3 linked regions of the Caenorhabditis elegans genome follow. The protein of the gene in region 3 purifies or fractionates together with the protein of the main gene of each other region. This does not show direct contact. Each region holds a gene or a part of one and is shown on either strand. Other genes may lie near its edges. The genes, in order: mltn-1, C25G4.8 and lmtr-5.

Region 1 (12,241 bases), on a different chromosome or scaffold from region 3:
TTGCGGAAATCTCTAGAAAATTTCAAAATTTGCACAATTTTCTCATTATAAAGACACCAAGGAGCTCATATAGCTATTTTGTTTTAAATAAAAGGTCGAAAGAAAGAAAGAAATTTACCATGAATGGATCGACGTCCTTTGAAAGCTCCTGCTTGATCGAGCCCTTGAGTCTCGCAATCATCTGGTCGACAACATGGTCCACATGTCTTCCTCCTTTTGTGGTGGAAACGTTGTTAGCAAACGAAATTTGCTGGAAGCCAACGTCCGAAAGGGCCAAAGCCACCTGCCAGCGATTTCCAATTTGCTCGTAGACCGTCTTCAGAGGCTCTCCTTCAAATGTGATTTGTGAAGTATACATTTTCACGTAGTCCTCGAATCCCTTGACTGAAATCATCTCTCCATTGAGGATGACGTCTACACCTTTACAGGTTGCCGCCACGTCGTAGGCACGCCGAGCCATCAAATGGCAGATATCGTCGTCAAGTTCCTTCATCTTGAACTTTGCCAGATCCGGCGAGAATGTGATCTTCGTGAAGTCTTCGTCGGTGCTCGGAACAATCGTCGGCTCCTCATCACGCGTCATGTTGTTGATCCACGTTTGCTTGAATGCACTTTTGTAGACCCGAGATGACGTCTCACAAGTGAATTTTGTGGAGAAAATGTTGCAGAGTTTAGCTCCATATCCGTTTCGTCCTCCTATCATTGCCTTCTGATTGCCGACGAAGTTTGATGACGTGAGAAGACTTCCGAAAATAAGCTCAGGAACGAAGACTTTCTCCACTTTGTGCTGAGTGACAGGAATTCCTTTTCCGTTGTTGTATACAGAGATCTCGTTTTTCGCCCTGAAAGAAGGTAAAATCAATTTAAATTCATTTTGTGCTACGCTCTAAACTTACTTGTTGATGGTAACTCTTATCGTGTTCATCTTCCGATCTCTCTGTTTGTTGTCAGCCGCATTTACAAGGATTTCGTCATAAATCTTGAATAGTCCCGGCACGTATGAGATGTCACGCTGCTCCAGCTTGCTGTCCTCCATGTTGTAGACCCACATCGGCTTCTTCTCGGTGTGCTCGATTGAGCCGATGTAGCTGTCCGGACGCAGGAGGATGTGCTCGAGTTGGGACTTCTTTTGGTAGATATCCACGATCGCCATTTGTTTCGAGCCACCACCTTTTTTGTCGATCGACGTGAACACATTGCGGTCCTCTTCAGTCATAACCATCGACTCGTTGGCTGAAAAGAAGCAAATTAGAATCAAGAAACTCTACAAATTAACCAACCATCATCTTTCTTGTTCTTCGGTGACGCCTTCTCCTTCTTTGGTGCGGTCTTCTTCGGATGGCTTGATTCTCCGACACTGTCTGAGTCGCTCATTTTTTTGCGATCTGAAAAACACGAAATTTAAATTTAAAGCAGCCGGTAGAGTACAATAAACTTGAGGATGAGAAAAGAGAGAAAAAAAACGGCGAAAAATGAGTGAAAAAGACAAAAAAATTTGTTCTCTCTCAACACACTTGGAGTCGGTCTCTCTCCTATTATGATTTAGTCAAAAACAAATGCGGGAATTTATGCAGTTTGGCACTTTGCCAAGAAACAAAAAGAACATTACAACATCTAGAGACCTCTAGAGAAAAAATTAATAAAGAAAAAAAGGGAAGATGGAGGACTTTGCTAAATTGTCAAAGTTTTAAGTGAAGTGCCAATTGTTGGCAAATTGCCAAATTTATAGTGAAATGGCAATTTTTGGCAACTTGCCGAATTTTTAGTGAAATAGCAATTTTTGGCAACTTGCCGAATTTCTAGTAAATTTCCATTTTTAGTGAATAGCCAGTATTTCGTAAATTGGCAAATTTTTAGTGAAATGGCAATTTTTGGCAACTTGCCGATTTTTTAGTGAAATGGCAATTTTTGGCAAATTGCCAACTTTTCAGTGAAATGACAATCTTTGGCAAATTGCCAACTTTTCAGTGAAATGACAATCTTTGGCAAATTGCCATTTTTTAGTGAATTGCCAGTTTTTCGTAAATTGGCAAATTTTTAGTGAAATGGCAATCTTTGGCAAATTGCCAAATTTTTAGTGAAATGGCAATTTTTGGCAAATTGTCAGATTTTTAGTGAATTGCCAGTTTTTAGTGAAATGCCAGTTTTTAGTGAAATGCCAGTTTTTCAGAAATTGGCAATTTTTTGTGAAGTGCCAATTGTTGGCAAATTGCCAAATTTCTAGTGAATTTCCATTTTTAGTGAATAGCCAGTATTTCGTAAATTGGCAAATTTTTAGTGAAATGGCAATTTTTGGCAAATTGCCAATTTTTTAGTGAAGTGCCAATTGTTGCAAATTGCCAAATTTCTAGTGAATTTCCATTTTTCAGTGAACCAATTTTTTTTAATTGGCAATAGTTAAATAAATTGCCGATTTTTCGTAAATTGTCAAATTTTTAGTGAAGTGCTAATTGTTGGCAAATTGCCAAATTTATAGTGAAATGGCAATTTTTGGCAACTTGCCTATTTTTTAGTGAAATGGCAATTTTTGGCAAGTTGCCAAATTTTTAGTGAATTGCCAATATTTTGTAGATGGGCACTTTTTCAGTGAGAGACAGGGATGAGCGGCAATTGCCGTTCGGCAAATCGGCAAATTGCCGGTTTGCCGATTTGCCGAAAAATTTTATTTTTGGAAAATTGCCGATTTGCCGTTTGCCGGAAATGTTTAGAGAGATTTTTTTATCAGACGCGGAAACAATTAAAACTGCGGAAAAAATTCTGAATTTTTTTCCGTTTTTTCTAAATATTTTCATGGAATTTGCATACTTTTCAAAATAAATGTAGGCACATTCATAGGATGTGAAATTCTGAAATTTCCAAAAAAAAAGTGCAAACCCACAATTTGCCGGAAACTTTCGGCAAATTGCAGTTTTTCCGGCAAATTTGGCGAATCGGCAGTTTTGTCGGTTGGAAAAGCAGAACTATTCGGCAACTTTACCGTACTCTTAGTAATATGGCAATATTTTTTGGAGCTCAAAAAGTGTAAAAAATTATGCAAAAAAAACTAAGTTCACTGGTTTTCGCTCGATTTTTGCCTAATGCTGCAAGATAAATCTGTGCGGCAAATTTCAAAATTTGCCGAGGTCTGCAAATGGCAAATTTGGCTAACTTGCCGAACACTCCTTGCTTGAGAGGAGCACTTAATGTATCTTGATGTAATTTGTTAATTTGTTAGACGCTCAGAAAACTAATCTTTATCCACTCTCATACCAGTTTTCGAACAGCTTAAAAAATATTTTCTTTAGACTATCTTGTCTGGATTTGTTTTAGTGTAAGTCAAAATAAAAATTATTATATTTTTATTATTATTAAAAATAATCAATTATTAAATTGTACATGTAATAGTTGTAGATTGAGAAGTTAGATATATGACCCATAAATTCACAAGTGAAGTATATATATATATATATATATATATGTTATGAAAGCCAACTTGGAGAGGCAAACACGGTGACCATAGCTCCATCGGATCCCCACGCGGGGCTCAGAGCATATGGAGAAAGCACGACAGCAGTCACATACTGAGGAGAGAGGATTGTCGGGGACAAGACGAATGGGGACAGAACTAGGGGACTCAACGCCAGTGGGTTCAGAATAATTGGTCCGAGACAGAACGGAGTCAAGATCAGTGGAGTCAGTACTTGTGGGGAGAGAATGAATGGGGCGAAGATGAGCGGGGAAAGTACGAATGGATTCATGGATCCTGGGCACAGGATGAATGGGTTAAAGGCTAGAGGTGATAGAATGATCGGAACCAGCAGGAACGGATTCACAGCTACTGGTGATAGAAGACGCGGGGAAAGAATGACAGGTACCAATAGCCATGGGGAAAGGATCATTACTCCGTAGACAGCTGGAGAGAGGATCAGTGATGACAGCATGACAGGAGACAGGATTGCCGGTTGGGAGACAGCCTGCAATATGGGAGATTTTTTGTTGGAAAATTTTGAATAAATTTTCCAGATTTTCAAGTAAGAGCGTTCGATTTTTGAGAAAATTGAGACAGAGCCACTGATAATGGCAATATTACACTATTCAAAATTTTTCTATGAATAACAGTAATTTTGGTGCTCCAAAAAATATTTAAAAATCAAAATTTTCCGAGTTTGCGAAGAACGGCAAATTTGCCGAATTTGCCGAGTTTGCCGAGCTCTGCAAATTTTCAGATAGCCCTGATCGGCACATTACGAAACTAAGATAGTCTTCGAGCAATTTTTCAAAACTTTCACTGAAAAGTAAAATTCTTTTCAGAATATACAAACATGTTTCTATATATTAAACAAAATTCGTTCCATCTGAAAATAACATTTATATTTGTTGAAAAATCTCTTAAAAAGCCTCAAGTTGTGCCAGAAAGTTGCCGTTTGCTGAAAAAAATGCCGTTAAAAGTATTTCGGCAAACGATAACTTCCAGGGACTATTTGAAAATTTTTTCAAACTTTTCAACAAACATAAATATTATTTTCAGATAGAACAAACATTTTTCTACACTTCTATACCTATTTTAGATTTAAAAAATTGGATTATCATATTGAAAATATTGAAGCCGTTTTGTATGTTTGCTGCACAGTCAGCAATTGTCGACCGGCACAGCAATTGTCGACCGGCAATTCTACAAAATGAGACGGTTGGCCAGGCTCCCCATAAATTTTTCATTGAAATTTAATGATAGAATATAAAAAATATTTGCTTCATTTAAAAATTACTGTTAGTTTAGTAGAAAGATCTTCAAAAATAGTCTGAATGTTGAAAATTTCCGGTGAAAATTGCCGAAAAATTGACGGCAATTTTCCACATTCAGACTATTTTTGAACACTTTCTCGCTATTTAAAAGTCTAGTGAAAATTATTTTCAAGTAAAGCAAATATTTTTTATATTGTATCTTTAATGAAAAAAAAATAAAAAATTTAATGAAAAATATTGTTGGAACATGCCCAACCGTCTAATTTTGTAGAACTGCCGGTCTGCAATTGTCATGCACCCCTGCGCACAGGCCAGTTAACTCACCACTGGATCCAAAATGAAGTTACTAAATGTGATCGGTGATAAAATAATATCATTTCTCTTTGCCTCAAATTTGACTTTCTCATGTGCCAAGTCCTTGATTGTTCCCATAATAGCTCTATCGATTTGTGGTCTGCTCATTGATTTTGCCAATTTCAAGAACTTCTCATTTTCCCCCACTGATCCCTTCCCGTAGATCAAATCCATCTGATCATGTCTCATAATAGTATAGCCTGTTCTGTTCATCTCCTTGAGCTGCTCATCGGTATAAGTTTTATCCAAAGACTCGAACATTTCGATTTTCCTCGCCTCATGCGGATATTTTTCTGTTACATTTTCTTTTGTGAAGTACAACGGTTGACCTTCAGGCCCTCTTCCCATCGCATCGTCTTTGAGTCTTCGATACTCTCCGATTTTTCTTTCAACCCGTTCCATCGCTTCATTGACACCAGTTGCTTCCACAATAAAATCCAAGAAATCCTGAGAGTCTTTGTTATCGGTGAGAGATCCTAGGATGTTTCCGAGTGATGCTTTCTTTTCTACTCCAGAGCCATCCTCGTGTAGAGCAAATAGTGAAGGAGAGAGGAGATCAATCTGTAAATTTCGAACATTGTGTCCGGCAAATATGCCGAATTTGCCAAACTGACCGAGCTCGGCAAATTTCGTGATTTGCCGCCCCTGGAATCGGCAACTTCGGAAATTTCCGGTTTTGGAAACTCTCGGCAATTGTCGGTTTTAGAAATTTTCGGCAATCCGCAATTTTGGAAATTGTCGGTTTTGGAAATTTCCCGGCAATCGGCAATTTCGGAAATTGCCGGTTTTGAAAATTTCCGGCAATCGGCAATTTCAGAAACTGCCGGTTTTGGGCATTTTTTTCGAGATTTGCTGGTTTTGGAAATTTTTGTTTTCTATCGAGATTTGCTTGTTTTCGAAATTTCCTGCAATCGGCAATTTTGGAAATTGCCGGTTTTGGAATTTTTCGGCAATCGACAATTTCGGCAATAGCCGGTTTTGAAAATTTTTGGCAATTGCCCGTTGCCGAAATTGTTATGGTTCGGCAAACTTGAAAATTGCCGGTTTTGGAATTTTTCGGCAAGCGGCAATTTTGGCCACTACCGGTCGCCAAAATTGATTTGGCCGACCGAAACTTTTGAAATTCGGCTAGTCCGAAAATTGCCGGGTGCCGAAATCGTTAGGGTTCGGCAACTTCGGCAAATTTGCCAAATTTGCCGCACACGCCTGTCCCTTACCTCATTATTCTTTGCAGCTTCTTCTTGTGGAATCACACTCATAAGACGTGGACTGATAATTCTGACAATTTTCCGATCGAAATCTGTTGTATTGTGACCCGACATTTCCAATCCCATCTTGGCGGCTGTTTTTTATTTATTATAATTAGAAGGTTTCGTTTTGTAAAAATATATCTTTTGGCCAAATTAAAAATTTTCACATTACTAACCATCTCTCATCATTTTCATCGGAATCATCATCAACTTTTCCTGTTCCGTCATTTTATTCTTCCTATTCCTCAACACCTCCTTAATCTGATCATTGTCTATAAATTGCTCCAAATCGTTGAACTCCTTTAAACTATCATCCTTCGCAATCTTCTTATTCTGCTTCATCTTTTCAGCTGCATCTGCATAAATCGACATTCTCTTTTGCATAAAATCCTCCATTTTCTTTTGCTCTTTGATTTCTTCGGCTTTCTTGGTGATTCGTTCGATAGTATCTTGCCACTTTGACACCTTGTCCGTCTTTTTGAGAAGTTTCACAGCGCTAGAGAGATGTCTCGTTACCAGGCCGAATGGTGTCCTAGAACAGATTACGGTTTATACATATTTTATGGCAGCAAACAAATTGTTTAAATCGGCAAATCGGCAAATTGTCGGAATTGAAAACTTCCGGCAAATTGGCAAATTAAAAAATTGCCGGAATTGAAAACTTCCGAAAAACCGGCAAACCGGCAAATTGTCGATTCGCCGAGTTTGTCGGACAATGGCAATTGCCGAAAACTGTCGACAAATAGTGGATTGTGGTTTTGTACTTTTTTGGAAATTTCAGAATTTCAAATTTTGTCGACAAAATGGTACGCATTCGATGAATGTTCCTACATCTGTTTTGAAAAAAATAAGCAAATTCTATAAAAATATCTAAAGAAAACGGGAAAAATTTCAAAAAGGCACAATTTTAAGTGTTTCCGTCTTATAAAAATTATCTTTAAAAACGTCTGGCAATTTGGCAAACCGGCAAACCGGCGATTCGGCAAATCGATAAATTGCCGGAATTGAGAATTTCTGACAAATCAGCAAATAGCCGAAAATCAAAATTTCCGACAAATCGGCAATTTGCCGAAAATCAAAATTTCCGGAAAATCAGCAACCCGGAAATTTGCCGAAAATTAAAATTTCCTGCAAATTGGCAAATCGGTAATTTGCCGAAAATGAAAGTTTCCGGAAAATCGATAATTCGCCGAAAACCGGCAATCCGATTTGCCAATTTTTTTTGTCAATAAACAATTTTTGCCGCCAACACTCAACCACTTACATTTCTTTTTCGGCTTTTAAAGTATAGCTATCTCTGGTGTGCACTCTAATTTCTCGTTTTGCCCGAAACTTGAATGACCCAATCCATTCTTTATCTTCCCGAATCTCTTTTTCAGTTATTGGAGTCATTGTAGTGTTGGTAACCATCTTATCGATTCGGCGACGCATCTCTGGAATATGTTCAGTACAGTGGGGATCAGGGCTGAACGGCTAGCTGATTTTTTTTTTTGGCTGTCAGCTCGTACAGCAAGCCGACTAATTGGGCAAAATTTGGGCAAAATTGGGAAAATTTCTTCAGAAATTCTCAAGTCAACTAGAAATGTTTACCTTTTAAACTACGTAAAATTAAAATGCTCACTTCTGCTGAAGAGCTTTCTCCTATGAACCAATCGATTTCTATGTGCGTCGTCTTCTAGCTTGAGCAAGCAACTTGCGTGCTCCGAAAGAGTTTCAGCCTCGGATGAGCATTTCTCATGGCTCTTTTTTTGGTAGTCTTCAACAAGGGCTAGTCTGAAATATTAATATATTTAACAAATTTAACAAATTGCTCGTGGCATTAAATGCGTATTTTCTTAAATGTTAAGTAACGAAATTTGAGAAATTGCCATTTTTAGATCTAACATGGTCCAAAACTACCAAATTTTGTAATGAGACGTTCTGAAAATTTATTTTTTAAAAAGTTATGGCCGCTCAAAGTTTAGGCAAAAATGGTCAATTTCTAGCTAAAATCTCAAATTTCGGCAACTTTTCAGAGTGCGCGGCAATTGCCAGCCGGCAATTCTACAAAATGAGATGGTTGGACATGTTCCCACAATATTTTTCATTAAATTTTCATGATATAATATAGACAAATATTTACTTTATTTGAAGATAACTTTTATTTGACTTGGAACAACCGAGAAAGTGTTCAAAAATTGTCCGAATATTGAAAATTACCGGTGAAAATTGCCGCCACTTTTTCGGCAATTTTAACCGGCAATTGTCAACATTCAGACTATTTTTGGAGATTTTTCTACTAAAATAACAGTTATTTTCAAATAAAGCAAATATTTTTCTATATTGTATCATTAAATTTTAATGAAAAATTTATGGGGAACATGCCCAACTGTCTCATTTTGTAGAATTGCCGGTCGAAAATTGCCGCGAAAAGTTGCCAAAATTTGAGATTTTAGCTAAAAAAAAAGATCATTTTTTCCAAAACTTTGAGCGGCCATAACTTTTTTTTGAAAAATTTTCAGAACGTCTCATCACAAAATTCGGTAGCTTTAGACCATTTTAGGTCTAAAATAACAAAGTCTGATCTCACCTTCTTGTAGCAATCGCTGCGACAACTCCGGAAAATCCTTGAACCGCCCAATGCTCCAAGAGCTCTTCTCCAGACTCTGTCGACATGGGAACATTGAAAACTTTGTCTTTATAATGTGGAGATTTCAAGATTTCTTTTTGCGTCAACCCATATTTTGTCACATCTACTTCCGATTTAACTTTTAAGCAGGTGCATGGATACGGTAGAAGTGTTAGAAATAAAATAATAGGGAATAGGATCATAATGTGGTAAACCAGAGACCAGAGAAAAGGGATTCCCTGTGATTTTATGGATTTCTGGATGTAAAGAGGGCGGAGTTTTCGGATTCATCCCGAAAGTTTTTCCAAAACGTGGTTATCACTTGCTGGGCGGTGCCTTCCCGTGACGAGGAGAGAAGATGTTCTCAAAGGATGGGAGATGATCCCGTTGAACCAAGATCTATAGCATAACAGGTGGCCACATTTTGATCCTGATTTTCACGATTTTGATGATAAAGATTGAAGTGTGTATGTGTGTGTTCATATCACGTGGAATGCGCATTGTTTCAATGATGCTAGTTTGAAGGGGGGGGGGGCGGTCAAAAAGGATTCAAGTTTTGGTTTTTATCTTTGAAAATGCGAAAAACTATTTGTTCCCTGTATGTGTGTTTGACAACTTCTCAGGTTCTTCGGATTTGGAAGGATTAGAAGTTTTATACGGTAATTCAGTTTTCTCGAGTGATATCCAATAGGATCCCTATATTTGATTACGATTTATGCACACAGTGTACCGGTAAACTAGGCTGGGCGGCAAACTACAAACGATTTTTTCCGGCAAATCGGCAAATCGGCAAATTGCAGAAATTTAGCATTTTGACAAATCGGCAACTTGCCGGAATTTAAATTTTGGGCAAACCTGCAAATCGGCAAATTGCCGGAATTAAAAATTTTTTGGCAAATCGTCGGAATTGAAACTTCCGGCAAATCGGCAAACCGGTAAATCGTTGGAATTGAAATTTTTGTTGGCAATCCGGTAATTTGCCGATTTGCCGAATTTGCCGGAAAAACGGAGATTTTCGAAAATTTTCGCCGAATTGTGGTTTTTCAATTTTTTTAAGCTTTAGAATTTCAATTTTAATCGGCAAAAATGTACGCATTCTATGAATGTTCCAGCATCTTTTTCGAAAATAAGCAAATTCTATGAAAATATTTAGAAAAAACGGGAAAAAATTTCAAAAAGGCACAGTTTCAAGTGTTTCTGTCTTCTAAAAACTCCCTCTAAAAATTTCCGGCAAATTGATGTTTGGCAAACGGCAAACCGGCAAATCGGTAAATTTCCGGCAATTCGGAAAATCGGCAAACTGCCGAAAATGAAAATTTCCGGAAAATCGACAAACCGGAAACTTGCCGAAAATTAAAATTTCCGGCAAATTGGCAAATCGGTAATTTGCCGAAAATGAAAGTTTCCGGCAAATCGATAATTAGCCGAAAATGAACGTTTCCGGCAAATCAGCAAGTTGCAGAAAATCAAAATTTCCGGCAAATCGGCAAATTGCAGGAATTGAGAATATCCGATAAATCGGCAAATCGACAAATTGCCAAAAATAAAAGTTTCCGGCAAATCGGCAATTTGCCAATTTGCCGAATTTGTCGACAAAAAATTTGCCGAACGGCAATTGAACAATCAATGACTTACATTTCTTTTTCGGCTTTTAAAGTATAGCTGTCTCTTGTGTGCACTTTAATTTCTCATGAATGTTCCTACATCTATTTTGAAAAGTAAGCAAATTCTATGAAAATATCTACAGAAAACGGAAAAAAAAATTCAAAATGCACAGTCTTAAGTGTTTCCGTCCTTTAAAAAATCCGCCTAAAACCTTCCGCCAAATTTTGAGCCGGCAACGGCAAATCGGCAAATCGCCGAAAATGAAAACTTCCGGCAAATCGGCAAACCGAAAATTTGCCGATTTGCCGAATTTGCCGGAAAATAAATTTGCCGAAAATTTAACAAATATATTTTTTACAAAAGAAAAAAGTTTGATTTCTTATCTTCGGAATTTAACATTTTTCAATATTTTTTTCATCTTAAAAAATTGTGAAATCTTCAATTGTCTTTGATTTTTGTAGCTCATTTCGTAGTAAAAAAATCGTGTTTATTTTTAAAATCAAATTTTAAATTAGTACGGCTTTATTATATTTAAAAAAAAATGCGAGAATAAAACGATTGATTTGAACTTATTTTCGACTCCCAAAAATTTTGTGTACTGTTAATTTATCAAAATTTCTCATTTCAGAGAATAAATTTCTATTTACCATTTTTGAAACAATGTTCTTTAAAATTATAAAAATTTATTGTAAATTCTAGAAAATTTCAGATTTTTTAGAAAGTTCTAGAATTTAGAAAATTTGAGTTTCCCACCATGCCTTTTTCTCCGACTGGAATAAATAAATAGGGCAGACTTTCGGAAAAGATGGAGTATGTTTTATACGGTAATTCAGTTTTTTCGAATCCCGGCCAATTAGACAAGTTTCCTGGGTCGATCTAATTTAGATAAATTTTCCAAGATGCTTCACTTATCTCTACATTTTTTTAATAAATATTATACTGATATTTTCAAAATCATCCGAGATACAACACAGGGGTGGGAAAACGATTTTTCCGGCAAATTGGCAAATTGCCCGTATCGAAATTTTCGGCAAATCAGCAATCTGCCGGAATTGAAAATTTCCGACAAATCGTGAAACCGGCAAAATGCCGAAAATTTTCAATAAATCCTCTAAACATTTCCGGTAAATCTGATATCTGGCAAACGACAATTCGGCAATTATGAAAATTTCCGGCAACGTGACAGAATTGTAAATTTTCGCAAAATCGACCAATTGCCGGAATTGAAACTTTCGCCAAATTGACAAACCGGCAAGTTGCTGAAAATTTCAAAAAAAAAAGTCCTCTAAATATTTCCGCCAAATATGATATCCGGCAAACGACAATTCCGCAATTATGAAAGTTTCCGGCAACGTAACAGAATTGAAAATTTTCGCCAAATCGACAAATTGCCGGAAATGAAATTTTCGGCAAAAATTGTCGGTTTTTTTTGGACCTAAAAATCTGAGATTTCTGTATTATTAACATATAAGTAAAATTCGAAAATTTTCGGTGTATTGATCCCATATTTCTTGTAGTTAGAGGTACTTATTACGGCTACATTCCAGTTTTTTTAGATGCTCAAAAACGTCCTACCCTACTTTGAAACATTCTCCAATTATCCACAAATTCCGTGATTTGTAGTCATTGTACCTACCGTATGACCTACTAATCTTGCAACTTTATCCTATCCCGCCGCCCATCACCAATAGCCGTATCCATA
Region 2 (10,545 bases), on a different chromosome or scaffold from region 3:
AAATCATGAGCAAACCTGGTTAGTTTTGAACGCTTTTTAATGAAATTTTTGAAACTTTTTTTCAGAAAGTGTTCAAGAATCCCTTGATACAATCACATTTATTCACTCTTTTCAAATTACGACCACCAAGGTTGAGCATATGAAGCCGAAACGTTTTACCACGGTCCATCAGTACTCGCTGATTAATTGGTAGGTGATCTCACAGTTCTAGGGGATAGAGAAAAGGGGAGATGGAGATATGTGGGAACTGAAATTTAGTTTCACTCCCCCAGTCTCCCCAAGTGCCTACCTCATGTCTAACGTCTATTCACTTTGTCAGCAAAGAAGCAGTAAAAATTCATTTCGATTCCAGGGATATCGAAATATCGGTATCCCAAATACTTCAAGAACATCCCCAAAACCCTGAAGAACCGGTCGTCGAGAAGGTTTTTCGAATCAGTCTTTATCCAGCCGGACAACATCCTCTTCCTGTGCAGAAAGTGGAGTTCAAGTTAAGATTGGTTGACAATTCTGATGGAGATAATAGTGCGCTTTTGAAATAGTTTCCCAATTGCTTTTACAGACATCCTGCCACCTGTAAAATTCACCTATGAGCCTGACATCACGGACCGTGACGATTTCGACTGCATTACACCGGAACGTGGCGTGATTCGAGACTTTTTGTGCGAGGTGATCGGAAATCGGCAATTCAAGAAATACAAATTGGAAATTCTCACTGTTATCGTATTTGATATCAACAACTTTTTGAGCCTGAAATACTTCAATCGATTTGTTGGAAAACCGATGCCAGTCGAATTGGATTTCAAATATTATCTGTTGATGAATCAGTGAGTATTTTTGTAAGATTTCATATGAAGCCTAAGTCAATCGCATTCCAGAAAGACTCACAACTTCCTTCTCACCACCACTACTCAACAAGGATTCCCGTGCAATAAAGAAGCTCTATACGTGGCTTCTCCATATTTTCGCAACCATCTCACAAGTTCCATAACCAGTTTTCCACTGGAGGTACAATTCTTGGAAGCTATTGAAGTGGTTGGTTCTTATTATTTCTCTTATTCTGTGACGAAAATTCTTAAGGTTGTTACCTGGAAGATTGTGACACGTAAACACAAACAGAGACAGCTCATCGGGTCGATTGAAAGTCACTGCTTTGAGGAGCTGATTAAGGCAAGTTACAGTACCTCATGAGACCTGTAACACTGTTGTTTTTGCAGAACTGTGAGGACTTGGATTATGTGGAGAAGTTGCTCTTTATGGCTCACACTAATTATCTCGGACGTCTTCTCGAAGCCTGCAACGCCACTATTATCAGTTTTCATTTTGCGGATCTTTGCAGGGACATCCAACAAAATGTAAGTTATCACAGCAAAGAATTCCACATGTTTGCCTAATTTTTCTACACATTATTTTATGGCCGGACCCTGCGTTCGTTCAACAGGGTCAAGGGAAGCGCTTCAGTCTTATGGTATCAATTTTTAGAATTTGTGACAAGACTCAAAGTATTTCATTTCCAGAAACGCCTTAATGATCGTTACGTGAAGAGTCTCAACGTGAGAAGTTTCATGAGAAAAGTGCCGCCGGTGGTTATTGCCAATCAAGGATAACAGCTGAACTTTTACTTGTGATGTGAATAAATATTTTGTATTTGAATGTTTCCAATGATTCTAGTCTAATTGTGACGTCACTCTCTCTTCCACATTCTTCTACAGTTCCGGCGTTTTGTTTTCGACCGGCTACCTACTTGCCAGTTGTCGGCAGCTTCTCGATTTCTCTTTTTCTACTAATAGCCCGCTACTCACCCGGCGATGAAAAAAGTGTTGTAACTGATAAAGTTCCAACACACCCACATAAACTTTACATAAACTTTAAAATTTTGAAAATCTTTCTGTCAACGTTTATTTCAATGTTTAAAGGTAGAGTATCGCCAGTGGGGGATTTTGTTTAAATACACATATAAAGATCCAAAACAACCAAATATCATAAAAAACACTCCAAAAATGTTTAGTTTTTTCATAATTTCCAGTAGAAGTTTTGGAACATTGCCAAAATTTTGAAAGATATGAGGTTTTGAAGAAATCCAAACCAATGTCGCAGGTGCCAACCCTTACAATGTTTTAATACGAATAATTAAAACAAAATTACAGTATACAAATGTAGGAAAAATTTTTTTTGGTCGACCTCCAAAATTATGAGTGGCAAAAACTGAGTAATTGTCACTTTTTGACAGTAAATAAAAAATTTTCAAAAAATTTCTCGAAAATTTTATTATGATATTCGGTCATTTTGGCATAATTTTGGGTGTGGTTTTTAAAATTTCCCTCTTGGCGCCACTCTACCTTTAATGGTGTAGAACAGTTAGCGGCTTGCAAATAATATTCCCAACATTCAAATGTCATTTGGCTCCGCCTCTTCTAATTCTTTCAGTTTTCAAACAATTTTTCTCATTGCCATCCAATCTCCAGTTCACAAGTCCCAAAAGAGGCAAAACATGGACTTCTTTTGTTTTTCGTTTGTTTCCACACAGTGATAACACTAGTCTTAGCATTTTCTAGACAAATCAAATGTTTTCCAGCAATCTCGATTCGCCATAAATTTGAACAAAGACAAGTAAATTATCTAGCTGATTTTGATGTTTGTTTCAAGTTTTCTTCAAAAAAATGCAGAATTGTTTTTTCATTTTCAGTTTCTGTATAAATTTTCGGCGAAAAACAATTTTTAAATTTTCGAACCAAGGAATTTGGACCAAAGAAATTGTTTTATTGGAAAAACGAGCCCGAGAAGTGTCGACCACTAGAACTTTATTGAAGTTTAAAAGGAATAAATGTGGCAAAAAAGTTCCCAATAAAACCCTTTATTCAAAGTTAATCTTCTCCGATGGCCGGAAGGAACTTGATGAAACACTTTGACTCATTCGACGCAGCAAATGCTCTCTTCACTTGCATCGTCAGTGATGGCCTCAGGAACTCTTGACGTCGGGAGAATCGTTCTTTCAGTGGGTGATTCTGAAATTATCTATTATTAGTGCATCATGATCCTCTGCGTCAGACATCTGCCGGGCTCCGACAAGAACCCGGCAGGTGTTGGGGGCTTCAAACACCACCAACCCCAATAACGAAAATCCGAATGAAGTCGTGGGCGTGATAGAAGACAAGAGTGGCGATGCAGCAGTTTTGAACGTTTGCAAATTGAGCGTCATCGGCGATGATAAGCATATTGCACACGTACATGATATCTTCATAGTTCTGAAAATTCATACTATAAGCTCGATGGAGCAAGAACAGGCTCTCACCTTCTGCAACTCCTCACAGCAATGCTTTTCGATCGAGTTTTTTAGAACTTTTGGCTCGAAAACCTTCCATTGCATAGCCAAAGCAAATATCTCGAAAGCGAGTTTTGGAGAAAGTAGAGCAGGTTTTTTGTAGATACCAGTGATCATGTAGGTGAGACACTGAAAATTTCATTGAACGGGCAGAATTCTACATAGAAAATTGCTGTAGCCATCTGCTAAGTCTCAACGAAATTTGAAAACTCTGCCACCGCGTCGTTTACAGCCTCCCCTATTGAATCTTCACCGTACAATGTCAATGCTCTGCACAGAATCAGCTCTTCCAACTGTGTACTCGGTAGTTGTGTCCTTCAAATGCTGACGGAAGAATTGAGATGCCAGACAGACAATTTCCTTATTCGTCATCACAAAGTGCATGCCATCGGATGTCTTCAGCTTCAAATCATGACGAGATCTGGAATTAATTTGGTCATATGTTGGGAAATACAGTGCGCCCAACTTCTATAACGCCCCCCTATTTTTTCTCATTTCACCACCTGCTGACATTTTTTACAAAAAACTGCTAATGCCATTCGATTCCAAATGTCGAAAAACCCCCTGTCCAAAATTTTCATCAAAAAATTCAATAGACTGATAGTGAGGAGACTAGGTCAAAAAGTCTCTAAAACGACCGCCCAACTTCTATAGCGCCCCCTCGAATTTTTTATTTTTTCTAATAAAATCCCCTTTTTTTGGCTTTTTCTAAGAACAACTTATTCATGACTTAAGTTCAAACTGATCCAGACATCTTGCAAATCAATTTTCAAAAGAAATTTATCCGTGGAAATTCATAGGATCTCTAAAATTGTCCTGAAACGCCTAATTTTATGTTAGAGGGCGTTGCGCGGCGCCCAATACTTGAATCAGCACCAGAATCAACTAAGATGATCTACAACATCTATTTCATCGGTCTGAAATTTTTTTTCACGTCTTACGTGTCATTTTGTGGCATACGAATGCTCAAGAAAACGTAGTGTTTATTATCAATTTTGTTCGAAATGCCACGAGGACCTCAGCTAACAAGAGATGAACGATCCAAGCTAGATGTGATGGCGAATCTTAATATTTCTACAAATGAAATGGCTCGCCAAATCAATCGCTCTCGTAAATGTGTCTACAACTACCTCAATAATCCACTTTCTTATGGTCAAACCAAAAGAGCTCCCAGATGCAAAGTTTTATCGAGTCGTGAGGAACGCAACATTGTGAAGGCTGCATCGCCGCTTTGCCGCTTTTTCGCTGGGCCGCTTTTTCGGAAAAGAAGAAGCTCCCCATCCAATTTACAAGTCATAAAATGACTGCTGTAGATTATCAGCAAGTCTTGGAAAAGGATTTAGTGAAGTTTTTGAGACACCCGTCGAAAAAAAACTGGCAGTTCCAACAGAACAACGCCAGTATTCATTCAGCCAATTCAACTCGTGCCTTTCTCAGCAGCAAGAAAATTAAACTCCTTAAATGACCAGCTTGTTCACCGGACCTCAATCCGATCGAAAATATGTGGGCTTCCCTCGTGAGACTCGTGTACGCTAATGGAAAACAATATCCGAATGTTGCTGCTCTTAAAGTCGGAATTGAGGATTCATGGAACGCCATATCAGCTACAGAGATGAAAAATCTGGTCAATTCGATGCCTAATCGAATCTTTGAGGTCATCGCCAAGAATGGAGGTCCTACGAAATATTGAACTTTATCTAAGTTAATAAAATCTGTTGTGTTTTTTGATTTCTAGAGGATGGTGAATGCGCGAAGGCCAGTAGTGCTATCTCGTACTAGTAGTATAATAAAAATAAGAGTTGCAAATCTTTAAAAAAATTGCAGACCGATGAAATAGATGTTGTAGATCATCTTAGTTGATTCTGGTGCTGATTCAAGTATTGGGCGCCGCGCAACGCCCTCTAACATAAAATTAGGCGTTTCAGGACAATTTTAGAGATCCTATGATTTTCCACGGATAAATTTCTTCTGAAAATTGATTTGCAAGATGTCTGGATCAGTTTGAACTTAAGTCATGAATAAGTTGTTCTTAGAAAAAGCCAAAAAAAGGGGATTTTATTAGAAAAAATCAAAAATTCGAGGGGGCGCTATAGAAGTTGGGCGGTCGTTTTAGAGACTTTTTGACCTAGTCTCCTCAGTCTATTGAATTTTTTGATGAAAATTTTGGACAGGGGGTTTTTCGACATTTGGAATCGAATGGCATTAGCAGTTTTTGTAAAAAATGTCAGAAGGTGGTGAAATGAGAAAAAATAGGGGGCGCTATAGAAGTTGGGCGCACTGTAGGAAGGCTAGGAAATCTTGCAACAAAAATTTTTAAAAACTAACTTATTAGTGATTGCATCGAAATAATAATCCAATGAATCTGGCATATTCGGTGCACCATTTCCCAACAAATACTTCATATCCACCAAATCATTTTTCTTAAACTCCAACCGAGTTTCCAATTGAATCGTCTGCGCTTTCTTCTTTGCTTCAGCTATCAACGTCGATAAATCTCTTTCGAATTGGGTATTCTGTAGAGTTGTATAAGATCTATGATCCATTCGACCTCTTCGTTCAGCCGGAGCAATTGGAAGTCCATCGATAAAGTACTTGAGACTCTTCTTAATACTTCCATCGGAACCCATCGCTTTCACTTTAAAGTATAGTTTGTGAAGTGGTGGGTATGAATCACGGACTCCTGATCCATTCAGCGAGATTACCCAATTAGATTCACGCGAGTGAAGGATGTGTCCAGCAAATTGTTTGTGGAGTTGAAGATCCCTAAAACTCATAAAATTAAAAAATATTTCTGAAAAAGCACTAACCAATCGAGCATAGTGCTTTCAAAAATCGTGGAAAATGCTCCTTTTGCTCGAACATCTTCTGGACCCAGTTTAAATTTGAGTAGATAATTGAAATTGATAAAATTGTCCGCTAGTTGATACTCTGAAAATTTAGCCTTGTAGATTTCTGAAAAATTCGGACTAAATGCGTCTACAGTTGAGCTCTATCGGTAATCAGTTCGTGTACTCCACATGGACAGGAGCCTTGCCTATGTTTTAGCGACCCAGAAGAGTCTAGTTCTCATGGAATGTACCACGCAACTCTGAGCCCTTACAAACAACTTACTTTGCTCCATATGCATCGCTTTCATTTTGAACAGCTTTTTCTTGCAATATAAATAGGAATAAATTGTGTTGGAAGAATGTGCTGGAATTTTTATTTATTTTTATTTACGTGGAATTATTTGTAAGGCAAAGTATATTAACTTCTTTTTTTTTAAATAATAACAAAAACTCCGATAATAAAGGCCATATTACGCCTAGTTTTTGCATTGTTCTCGGTGTCTGTATCTAAGCAGATAAAAACATGGTGCATCGCAAAAAGATTCACCTATTGGCAGGTAACATGTTATTGAAACAAATCTAAACAACCCTATAAACAAACTTTCATTCAAATTTTGAAACAAAAAAAGAAATATATTTTTTTGTTAAAATACTTAGTTTTCGATTTCAAAAAAAGTGATCACGTGACACGACCTTTTGTCCTAGTTTTTTATGGCCTTATCAATTCAGTATAAAAGGTCCAATTCTCGTTAGTCTTGTTCATATTTCGTCAGAAATCTTGGATCAATCGTCTTTTGAATCGCCAGCCAAAGCTGCCAAGAAGAAAACGAGCAGAAGCATGGGTTCAAGTGATGTGCCAGCAAGATGTCAAAAATCGCAACGTCTAGCTCGAATAAAAATTTTGTCTGAATCGCTTCTTCTGATTTTTGAAAAAAATTAAATTAGTTTATAGTTACAAGATAGAGAACCGGACATTGTACCATTTTTGCTTTTTGATTTCAGTTCCAGAGTCTATTGGTGTTTTGTTGTGTTGCTATTTTTTCCAAATGTTAGTTATAAGAAACGAGCAATTTGTCGATCCAGGCTGTTACATCAAACTAAACCTGACGTTTGGTTTCCGGATTCGGACCACCTGGTTCCTGTTGGAGTTGTTACAGACGATTTTCAAGAAATTTTACAATTACGATGTTACAATACTTTGAAACTATGCTTTCAACATGAGTAGAGCCTGGAATGTAAAATGAATACTCGAACATTACATTTGACAAGCCGGACGTTATGTTTGCCAGCCCAACTTCAAACTTAAAAATGCTTTATTTTCCAATTTACTATAATATATTTACAATTTACTATTGTGAATGGTATGTAGTCGTTTCAAAGAAAACATTTAGTGCTTAACAAAATATAAATTTTAGTCTAACAAGTGAGTATTCCCCGTTAGGCCAACTTCATAAAGTTGATTTTTTTTAATTTTAGTTAACCAAAAATCCTCATTTGTAAAAGTTTATAGTTTCCAAAACTTGTACTGAAAAAGTTCAAAAATCTACAAATTTTTGACGTGTTTTATCATTAAGTCATTTTAGAACACATTAAGTTCAGACTAAATCCCCACTGACAATATTCCACCTTCAAGCTTATAATTCCAGCTAACGATGACGCTCCGTGAATCCAATAGTTCCAAATTACCCAAAAATAATTTTCTCAAACGTTTTTTTGCAATATATTTCATGTGACAGCCCATCAAAAAACACTTTCTAAATATCAAACGAAAATTCTAACAATGCGAATTATGTTTAACCTGAATCAGTTCCGAGAGGGAAAAAGCACATGAAATTCGGCGAAAAGACGCAGAGAAAGAAAAGAACGTTGTCTGCGCATCTGCTTGGCACCACCAGACAAACGGACACTCTCTTCCCGTTCTACTTTCAAGTTTTTTGCTCACTGCTGCTGCTGTTGCTCAAAACAACAAATAAGCACAGAACGAGAGAGCTGCGCGGAGCAACACAGACACGAAGAGCGAGAGCCATTTCCCCCAATTGTGGTAAAAACACGAGACACTCGCTCTTGTCACTCTATCACCAACAAAACCTTTGGTCACTTCTCTTGTTTTCTAGCACATCTAGTCTCTTATGCTTGGTTGCGTGTATACCGGAAAGCGGCGAGTCCTTGTAGCCCGTCCACTTTAAAATCAAAATTTCTATCGTTCTGAAAGCATTTGTTTCCCGTTTTCACATCAATAGATTCCAACTAAATTCCCGTATTCTTGTCGTATGTGATTCCTCGAACGAACTTGATACTTTGAAACGGCTTGTCTCTGACAAACAGCTACGCATGTTTTTTCTTTCCCTCATGTGCTTTTATAATTTTTAGCCGTGCTGTTTAATAGTGTTTCAATTTTAAGCAAACTGGTGCACAATATTCCCAAAATTACCTTGATTCTTTTATTAGTCTTGCACCCAAATTATAAATAGCTTATAAATAGCTTATAAGTAGATTCTATTTGGTCTTTTGGCGGCAATTGTGAACATAAATTTTTCAGTGTTTCTGAAAAATTCCTTATTACGGGATGCTAAAAAAGTTATAATTTTTTTTAGTTCAAAAATTAGAAGAGGAGCTTAAAAATCTAGAATATTATCTATTTTTTTTGAAATTTGAAATTAAATGAAATTCATTCCAAACTTTTCAATTTGAAATAAAAACTATTTTCAAATTGATGATTAAATTTTTTACATTTTGAAACGTGATTATAACAAGAAAATTAAAATCCAGTTTCCAAAAAATAACCGTATCTTCTCTATTAGCAGCACTCTTAACGTTGACTGCTTATATCTAAATTCATTTTCATTTTACTAATAAATGTTGAACTACAAAACTATAGAAAAATGAATAAACTCTATTTTGCTAGTTGACAAATGTTTTGATAAATCAAAAGGCAACCGAAATAAGAGCAGTCAAAGTTGACCAATGCAGTCAAAGTTGACCGTATGTTTTTCATTAACTTTCCAATGTTCATATTCCAATGTTCCTTTCTTCGTTAAATTCGAAATTTCGTATTTTGTTCATTCATTCATTATTTCTTTTCTTCCCTCTCCATCCCATTCTCTCCTGTTTTCCAACACCAGCACCCGTTTCAAAAAGTATGTCACTTTTTTTTGTCGTCGTCTACTTGTCCAAACATTCAAAAGACACCCGAGACAGATTCTCAAGGTGATTTGTCAAATTTTCTGTGTGACCTGATCACCAAATTCTCGTTTACTTGTTATCATCTTTCCAGCTATAATCTCTCAATCTTGATCAGCTGTTCAAAATCTCGTACTTCCTCTATTAGTCTTGCACCCCTTTCTCACTTCATTTTGACAGTTTATTTTCAACATTTATTAAAATTACTGACAACGATTTATAGAGAAAGCAATTATCAAAAAATTGTTCGTTGATAATTTTTTGATAAAACCTATGTCAAATGAGATATGAGCTTCCAAAGTTTGTCAATTGAATGCAGGATGATTTTCAAATTACTTCAAATTTTTCTATATTACCAAATGCCCAATTAAAAAATTATCAAAATTTAAATTTTCACTCACTCATAATTAAAATTTAAAATTTGAATCTACTCATCGCGGCGTTGACAAAAAACACCTTCAAAATTTATTTCTACTTTTCTACTTTTTACAGTCTACTTTTTGTGTCAAATAAAACCCCCATTGGGACCATTGGCTCTGCAATCATTTTGATTTAAAACCATTAATTTTATGGGTGGGCAACCTTCCGGGTACATACTTCGAATTCTGCAGAATTATTTTGCTTAAAAATTGCCAATTGATCAGTTTTAACACCGGTGATTTTGGTGGTCACAATAAAAATGTTTTCTACAAGTTCCTAAAAAATATATATTTTAATTATACTAAAATCTTACTCTAAATTTGCCGAAAAACTCCATAATTTTCAAATTGGCAATGTACCAAAACTTAAACTAAAATTTTTGAAAAATCCAATTTTTTAAAACCCACCTTTGAAATATTTTCTCATGAGAAATCTACAGTTCTTTTCTTGAAAAAAACTATTTCCCTTTTTTCAAATTTTTATATCGATGTTTTCTGATAGATATTTTGCATTTGAATGGAGCACTTGACAGATATACCAATATTTTGCTTCAATTTTAAGATAGATGAACATATTTAAATTTTCGAAGTAACGGCATTTTCTTTTTCAGAAACTAGAAATTCCTAATTTTTAAGATTATTTTCATGAGGCAAAACATTTTTTTAATCTGTAACACACAGTTTTATCTTGATTTCAAAGTCATAAAATTTCTTGAAAATTGGCCCACAAAATGCTGTGTAAAACTTATAAAATTAAAAATTTTTTCAAATGCCTGAAATAGATCGGAACTGAATC
Region 3 (8,402 bases):
TCAATAATTTTTGTTCTGTTTTTTTTAGTATGGGGCACTTGTTGAAAACATTTAAAATCGCAAAAATTACGAGTAATCTCAATTTTTAAGTGCAATTACCTTTTTTAATAAGAAAAACTCCTACTTACTCAATGTCCATTGGGCCCAGACGGGCGAAAATGTATAGATAGCTTTTTTTGATTGTTGGGCGAGATGCGGCAGATTTTCGATAGACTATGTAGTCATTGTGGGGGTATCTGGAAATATTTGATATTTTTTTAAAAAACTTTTTCTTCGAAAATAAAACTAACTCCGATTCCTTTTTATTTTCAGCTGGCTCTGAAACCTCTGTTGGCTTGAATCTACTCAAATAATCTGGGAATTCATCCCCATCTCGAAGTGTGAAAATTCGACGATTGCTGGAAAAAAACATTCGATTTTTTAAAACTATTTTTACACTTTAAAACATTTAATCATTACCTATTCTCAGCTCGTCCAACTTTTTGTTTCCACTTGAAAGTGACGTCATCAAGACGACTTTTTGATGGTCTCTCATCGATCACATTGTTATCCTGATTAAAACGGTCAAAATCGAGAGATTGAATGCCTTTTTGGAAGAGTTGGACCCTGAAATTCGAAATTTGAGATAAGTTGGATTTTTGGCCTAGTGGTTAACAGGGGTGGCTGAGACCCACAACGCCGGGGTTCGAGCCCCCGCTGTGGCAAATAGTTTTTTTTGTTTCATTTGTTAAAAGTTCAAAAATAAATTTTTTTTAATATCGATTTTTAAGCAGCTTCGTTTTTGAAAATTTGATTTACCTTGTATTTTTCGTTAATTTGACGCTCCCTTTTTGAGAATTAAAAAATTATTTTTCAAAAAAAAAGAAAAGAGTTTTCAAAATTATTATATTCTGATAATTTGAGAATTTCAGATATCTCAGATTTTTAAAGTTTACCTGATAGATAATCGATCCACAGATCCGGCAAAACCGAAAGTACTTGATAAACGGGACATATTGATGTTCTACTAGGGGTGTGCTCCGCGAGCCCACCTCGCCCTCCGGAGGAGGGTTCCTATGGTGACGGGGGGGGGGGCATAGGGAAATGAGACCGGGTAAGAGAAAGAAAAAGCACGTCCATTCGAAGAAAATACAAAAGATTTTAAAAATAATAAATAAATAAATACAATTTTTTAAAATTCTAAACTTTTCTCGAAATTTTCAACAAGAAAAACCGCCCGAAATTAGGCATTTATGAAGAATTGGTCATATTTTAACTCAAAAAATGTCGCTGAACACAAAAAACGTTAAATAAAAATATTAGCCACAGCGGGGACTCGAACCCCGGTCTTGTGTGTCTCAGCCATCCGTGTTATCCATTAGGCCATAGGTTAAAATTTTTTTGCTGGAAATTGGTGTCAAATTTGAGGTAAATTTGATTTAAAAACAGAATTTTCATACAAAAAACCATGAAAAATCAATACTTTCCGAGAAATTAGGCAAAACATTTGTAAAAATTAATTATGCCAGAAAAAATCCAAAAGTCCTAAATTGTGGTATTTTTCCGGTTTTTGAAAGCGTGTCCTATACAAAACACACCAAATAAAAACTATTGACCACAGCGGAGACTCGAACCCCGGTCTTGTGAGTCTCAGCCTTCCGTGTTAGCCACTAGACCAAAAAAAAAAAACGATTTTTTGAAAATTTGATATGGGTGTCAAATTGACGGAAATTTTACGGAGAATCCGAATTCTCTCAAGAAAAGTCTTTAAAATCGGTATTTTTCTGAGAAATCATGCTAAGGATGGGTTTAAAACAGTTTCGCCAAAAAATATTTTTTTAAAACTTTAAATTCTGTATATTTCCGTATTTTCAAAGTGCATACAAAAAAAAGACACTAAATACAAATAATAGCCACAGCGAGGACTCGAACCCCGGTCTTGTGTGTCTCAGCCATCCGTGTTATCCACTAGGCCAAAAATCCGATTTTTTGAAAAATCGATATGGGTGTCAAATTGACGGAAATTTTACGGAGAATCCGAATTCTCACAAGAAAAATCTTTCAAATCGGTATTTTTCTGAGAAATCATGCTAAAAGTGGTTTTAAAACAGTTGGGCTAATAATATTTTTTAAAAAAAGTATAAATTCTGTATATTTCCGTATTTTCAAAGTGCATACAAAAAAAAAGACACTAAATAAAAATATTAACCTCAGTGGGGAATCGAACCCCGGTCTTGTGTGTCTCAGCCATCCGTGTTAACCACTAGGCCAAAAATCCGATTTTTTGAAAAATCGATATGGGTGTCAAATTAACGGATATTTAATGGAAAAACTCAATTTTCATACAAAACACCATGGAAAATCAATATTTTCCGAGAAATTATGGATTTTTGGGGCAAAAAATGATTTTTTTTTTGTAAATATCCCAAAACTAGCGTCAAAATGATGGAAATTTTACGGAGAATTCAACTTTTTTTGGTAAAACATTTATTTAAGCACTGAAACAGTGATAACTCAATGAGAAAAAGAGAGGAATATAGGGGGGAATGTGATCACATATCAAATTGGCGGGAATCTAGTATATTTACATACAAAATTGTGGTGGAAAATGTCATGAAACGGGGATTTTTATGGGATTCAGTGGGGTGAAAAGTGGGAAAATGGGGGAAAATTGAAAAAAGTCAAAGAAAATACAAAAAAAAATCAGGGTTTTCAGAAGATTTTCAGATTTTCTGACAAAAAATTTGAAAAAAAAACTGATTTTTTGTAAGAAAATCCGGAAATTTCAGGTTTTTGAAGCAGATAATATGAAATTTGTTGATTTTTGAATAAAACGTTCAAAATTTTTAGATTTTCGAACAAAAATTTCTGAAAATGTCAGATTTTTGATTTAAAAAAATATGAAATATTCCGATTTTTTTTTAGATTTTTAAAAAATTCTGTATTTTTCCAATTTCCGCTAAAAAAGGTAATTTTGAGAAAAATTGGTGAAATTTTCAGGAAAAATGATCAAAAAAAGAGATTTTCAGGTAAAAACAGGCGATTTAGAGTGAAATTTCGTGAATTTTCCAGATTTTCCGACGTAATTTATTTCTGAAAATGAATTGAGACAGTTTCTCCATGCTTATTGGCCACCGTAGTCTTTGATCCGTCCGATGAGTGTAATGTGACAATTGGATAACTATTCTTCTTATTTCTTGTACCTTTTGGGAACATATTCTTCGCATCGGCGATCATCAATGAGCCAACATTTGCCATATCCTGAAGAAAATATTGATTTTTTTTGAAAAATTAGAGAATTTTTATCAGAAAATCGATTTTTTTGAATTTGGCTAAGAAAAAATGGATTTTTAATTTTTTTTTTTTTTTTTTTTGAAATTTCGATTAATTTTGCAATTTTTTTGGTGAAAAATCGATTTTTAAAGGTTTTTTTCAATTTTGGTGGGGAAATCGAATTTTTTTTCGAAATTTCAATTAGAAAAATTGATTTTTTTGCTGTTTTTTTTCGAAATCTTATATAAAAATTCGCTTTTAAATTGCAATTTTCCGAAAAAAATTGATTTTTTTGTGCGTACAGTAATCTTTCCAGCCGAATGAAGCCTGACACCTTCCGAGTCGGCGACTGTAATTCCCGATGCTCCGGTGCTTGACATCCTGCAAGAAAATTTGAAATTTTTTGGGTTTTTTAGAAGAAAATTTGAAATTTTCACGAAAAACGCTATTTTTCAGAGTATTCAGTCGTTTTTTTTTCTCAATTTTTGAGGGAAAATTAGAAAAATTTTGGATTTTCGTAAAATTTCAGTAAAAATCCAGTTTTTTTCTTTGAAAAATTGGATTTTTAACACTTTCTTTATAAAAAAAAATGTCGATATTATTAGAAATTTTAAGCTATTTTCAAAAATTAAACGATTTTTAATCAAAATTTCGAGATTTTAGCGAATTTTGTAACAAAAAATAGAATGTTTTTCAAATTTCCTGCTCTCTTACATCGCTGTGACGTTTTGCTCCAATTTCGACTCCATTTCTGCTGAAAAACTTCACTATTTCAAGATTTTTAGCGAAAAAAAGAAAATTCAAAATTCCAGGAAATTTATAGAATACAATAATTGGCATGAAAACCATCACCACAACCACCAAAAAAAAAACCCGGAAATTTCACAAAAAAACTCATTTTTCACAGAGAAAAAAAACACCAATCAATAAATAAATATATATATTATTTAGCTATACACGAAGAAAATAATTTCAATTTTAGTCGGCTGGGGGGGGGGAGCACAAAAAAAAACCACAGAAAAATCACATTTTCGGTCGGAAAAAAATCAATAAAAATTCAAAGAGCATGTGCGCTCCAGTGATAATTATCGCATTTCCGCGAAAATTACCAGTGGAGCGCGCTTTCTGCCTCAAATTTTTTGAATTTTTGGTATAAAATAAGGCGACAGGGGGTTTTAGAGGTGGGAAAACTCGTATTTCAGGTGAAAATTCTAGAAAAGTTAAAAAAAACAAGAAAAAACGAAGCGAAGTTGAGCTTTTTGATATGATTTAAGACACTTTTTGGTCGATTTTTGGTTGGAAAAATCGAAAAAATCGATAAATTGAAGGGGAAAAACATTCAGAGAAGAGAACAAAATGGGTATATATATATATATATAGAAAATCTAAAAGAAAAGAAGAAAATTACAAGAAAAAAAAATTTAAATCCAAGAGCAGCATCCAGTGTCCTATTTGCCAAGATGGTGAGCAGAATCTGAAAAAAAAAATCGATTTTTTTAAATTTTTTGCACTTTTTTCGGCAATATTCGGACCGAAAACCTCAATTTTTGAAAAATTTCCATTTTTTTGGAGCATGAAATATCAGATTTTAGGCTAATTATCTTTTACTATGATATCTTTTACTTTTTTATCTTTTACTCATCCATTTTATCGAAATTATCTTTTACTCATTTACTCATTTTTTTTCAAATTTATTTGTTTTATCTTTTACTCATCCATTTTGAAAAAAATTATCTTTTACTCATTTACTCATTTTTTCCATTTTTTGCTAAAAATCAGTTTTTCGGGTAAAAAAGTTGTCAGGAAGCCGATTTGGGACCTATATTTGGCCAAATTTCTTTAGTTAATGATAAGGTGATCGTTATCTATTAGATAAAGTACTCCGACCACCCATCCGGTCTTCACTAGTCATATATCTCGATATGTATATTCAGGCAAAATTATTGAGAAAACTGATGGAGTCCTTTCTGAAATGTCTTTAATTGATGGAATTAACAGTTTTTATCGCTCATCTACTCAAGTTTTCCAATTTTAATTTTTTATCTTTTACTCATCATTTTGAAAAAAAATTATCTTTTACTCATTTACTCATTTTTTTGAAATTTTACCAAAAAAAGAGTTTTTCGTGTAAAGAAATATTTTCAAGCCGATTTGGTTGATCAAACTGCTCAGTTAACGTTGGTTAGTGATGTTCTATAGATAAACTGTTGGAAAAAATTTTCCAACTTAAAAGTTGCCATTATATCATCGAAGATCCAGACAAGCGAGTTCAAGTGACTATGTGGAGTCTACCCACTCAAAAATTTTTTTTTTCATCAAAAGCCCTGTTTTCGAGCTTAAAACGTCTTTTTTTGCGGTTTTATTCCTTTCAAAAATAAAATTGTCGTCAAATAAAATGCACCGTACGCAAAAGTACGCAAACACCGAGGTCTACCGTACTCCGAACAATTTTTAATTTCGATTTTTGAAAGGAATAAAATAGTAATAAAAGACGTTTTAAACATGAAAACAGGGCTTTTGATGAAAAAAAAAATTATAAAAATTACTGAGCATATTATCTCCACGAAAATACAAGACTCGAGGTGTTTTTGAGAAAAATTTTTAGGCCTACGATGATTTTTTCGCAAAAGGCTTTTTCGATGAATCACAGAAATTCCCAAACTGTTATCTAGTGAAGTTTAGAAAAATATACTCGGAAATAATAGTTTTAAAAACATTTTAGGCCGCCGGGAGGGTTTCACTGAAGAATACAGGCACATTCTAAGACTACAAAATCAAATAAGCTACATTCCCGTTATGGATAAGATCAATTAGGACAAGTTAGCTGTGGATAAGAATAGTTGCACAACATTCCAGAATAGAATACTTTCGTGTTATCATGAAGAGTTGTCAATTTGAGTTACCAAATTCAAGATGGAACAGATTTCATATATAGCTTTGAAACGAGGGCGCCTCTCACCTGTTTGGTGAAGTGGTAAAGCGCGGGCTCTTCAGTAGAAACAATCCTGGTTCGAATCCGGATCCATTCAGAATTTTTTTTGAACTTCTTCAAATGATCTGATATAAGTTTGTGTTCTCTTGTGTTCTCAAAATTCTACGTTGGGTAACTGAATCGGCAAAAACTTGGTTAAAATTCCAGTTAAAGTGTAGTAAATTTTTTTCAGGACGGTTAATTTCATCTATTATATGCATTTCAGGAAGAACTTCATCAATTTTCTCAAAATTTTGATTTTTGAAAAAAAAAATTTTTGAGTGGGTAGACTCCACATAGTCACTTGAACTTGCTTGTCTGGATCTTTGATGATATAATGGCAACTTTTAAGTTGGAAAATTTTTTCCAACAGTTTATCTATAGAACATCACTAACCAACGTTAACTGAGCAGTTTGATCAACCAAATCGGCTTGAAAATATTTCTTTACACGAAAAACTCTTTTTTTGGTAAAATTTCAAAAAAATGAGTAAATGAGTAAAAGATAATTTTTTTTCAAAATGATGAGTAAAAGATAAAAAATTAAAATTGGAAAACTTGAGTAGATGAGCGATAAAAACTGTTAATTCCATCAATTAAAGACATTTCAGAAAGGACTCCATCAGTTTTCTCAATAATTTTGCCTGAATATACATATCGAGATATATGACTAGTGAAGACCGGATGGGTGGTCGGAGTACTTTATCTAATAGATAACGATCACCTTATCATTAACTAAAGAAATTTGGCCAAATATAGGTCCCAAATCGGCTTCCTGACAACTTTTTTACCCGAAAAACTGATTTTTAGCAAAAAATGGAAAAAATGAGTAAATGAGTAAAAGATAATTTTTTTCAAAATGGATGAGTAAAAGATAAAACAAATAAATTTGAAAAAAAATGAGTAAATGAGTAAAAGATAATTTCGATAAAATGGATGAGTAAAAGGTAAAAAAGTAAAAGATATCATAGTAAAAGATAATTAGCCCAGATTTTAGCATTTTTAAAGAAATTTTCGGGTAAAAATCAGTTTTTTTTCCGAATTTTTAGCAGGAAGTTTGCGAAAAAACACTATTTTCAGTTTTTTTTTCGATTTTTTGGCCAAAACTCGCATTTTCGGATAAGAAATAGAATTTTTCACAGGAAATTCCACATTTTCGAGTACTTTGGGGCTCAAAAATCTGAAAATAGTTATTGTTTTCAACTTTCTTGCAGTTTTCGACAATTTTGGAGTAGAAAACCTTGGAAAAATGACATTTTTAGCTCAAAATCGCCAGAATTTGAAATTTTATTGAAATTCATACATTTTTAGCCAAAAATCGTGATTTTTTCAGTTTCCGGGGCCATTTTCACCGAGAGAAAATCAAAATTCGCCAGTACCTGGCCGTTTGCCAAGCGGTTTTCGTGCTCCTGGCGGTGGAATCGCGCTGAGCAGCGGCATCTCTGGTGGTGGGCTCCGTCCACCGTTTGAGCCACCCGATGAATATGGTCCATTCGCCGAATTGCTCATCAAATGTCCACTTCGACTGTGTTGACGGTTAAGCGGAAGGAATTGTGGCTGAGATGTGCTCATAAAGCTCGAATCCGATGAGCCGGGCAGATATGGATTCATTGAATAGGGATCTGCAAGAAATTCGGATATTAAATTGGGGGAAATTTGAATTTTTTCATAATTTTTATGTGAAAAATCACAAATTTTCAATTTTTTAAACTGAAAATTGAGCGAAAATTGAGCTTTTTTTAGAAGGAAAAAGTATTTTTTGATAAATTTTCGAGCGAAAATGAAATTTTCTAGCATTTTTATTGAAACTCAACGATTTTTCTGTGAAAATTACAAAAAAATCGAGCGAATTACGTCATTTTTCACATTTTTGTGCATTTCCCGTAAATTTTCAGGCGAAATTTTTAGTTTTTACAGCATTTTCAGTTCGAAGCAAGCACCAGAAAACTGTGAAAATTCTTGTTTTCAGCCTGAAAAAATCGGAAAAATTACAGTTTTTCAAGCCAAATTTTGAGAACATTTTTAGCTCGTAAATTCGATAAATTGCAGGGTTTTAGTGAAAAATCAATATTTTTGAGCATTTTTTTCCGGCAAAAGCTCAACGAGAAAAGCACTCAAATTTCAGGTTTTTGCTCAAAAATTTCAATTTTAACGAATTTTCATTAAATTTTCAGGCAAAA

What was found.
Region 1: the proteins of lmtr-5 (region 3) and mltn-1 fractionate together in Caenorhabditis elegans (co-fractionation; one large-scale study listed by BioGRID). This does not show direct contact.
Region 2: the proteins of lmtr-5 (region 3) and C25G4.8 fractionate together in Caenorhabditis elegans (co-fractionation; one large-scale study listed by BioGRID). This does not show direct contact.

What each region holds. Positions count from the first base shown.
Region 1 is NC_003280.10:13,136,021-13,148,261, forward strand, and holds mltn-1 (MLt-TeN (mlt-10) related), read right to left. Parts: upstream 9,206-12,241; 5' UTR 9,138-9,205; coding exon 8,896-9,137; intron 8,100-8,895; coding exon 7,948-8,099; intron 7,760-7,947; coding exon 7,591-7,759; intron 6,859-7,590; coding exon 6,503-6,858; intron 6,419-6,502; coding exon 6,294-6,418; intron 5,638-6,293; coding exon 5,047-5,637; intron 3,954-5,046; coding exon 3,459-3,953; 3' UTR 3,324-3,458; downstream 1-3,323.
Region 2 is NC_003282.8:12,456,955-12,467,499, forward strand, and holds C25G4.8 (BTB domain-containing protein), read right to left. Parts: upstream 6,517-10,545; 5' UTR 6,459-6,516; coding exon 6,434-6,458; intron 6,251-6,433; coding exon 6,130-6,250; intron 6,086-6,129; coding exon 5,648-6,085; intron 3,744-5,647; coding exon 3,581-3,743; intron 3,452-3,580; coding exon 3,293-3,451; intron 3,246-3,292; coding exon 3,108-3,245; intron 3,006-3,107; coding exon 2,865-3,005; 3' UTR 2,785-2,864; downstream 1-2,784. Other genes in the region: C25G4.7 (uncharacterized protein), read left to right, coding at 6-18, 66-193.
Region 3 is NC_003281.10:3,179,292-3,187,693, reverse strand, and holds lmtr-5 (Late endosomal/lysosomal adaptor and MAPK and MTOR activator 5), read right to left. Parts: upstream 4,018-8,402; 5' UTR 4,002-4,017; coding exon 3,967-4,001; intron 3,634-3,966; coding exon 3,555-3,633; intron 3,241-3,554; coding exon 3,067-3,240; 3' UTR 2,453-3,066; downstream 1-2,452. Other genes in the region: mks-1 (MecKel-Gruber Syndrome (MKS) homolog), read right to left, coding at 129-236, 291-398, 460-606, 936-994; R148.3 (DUF4476 domain-containing protein), read right to left, coding at 4,701-4,726, 7,602-7,844.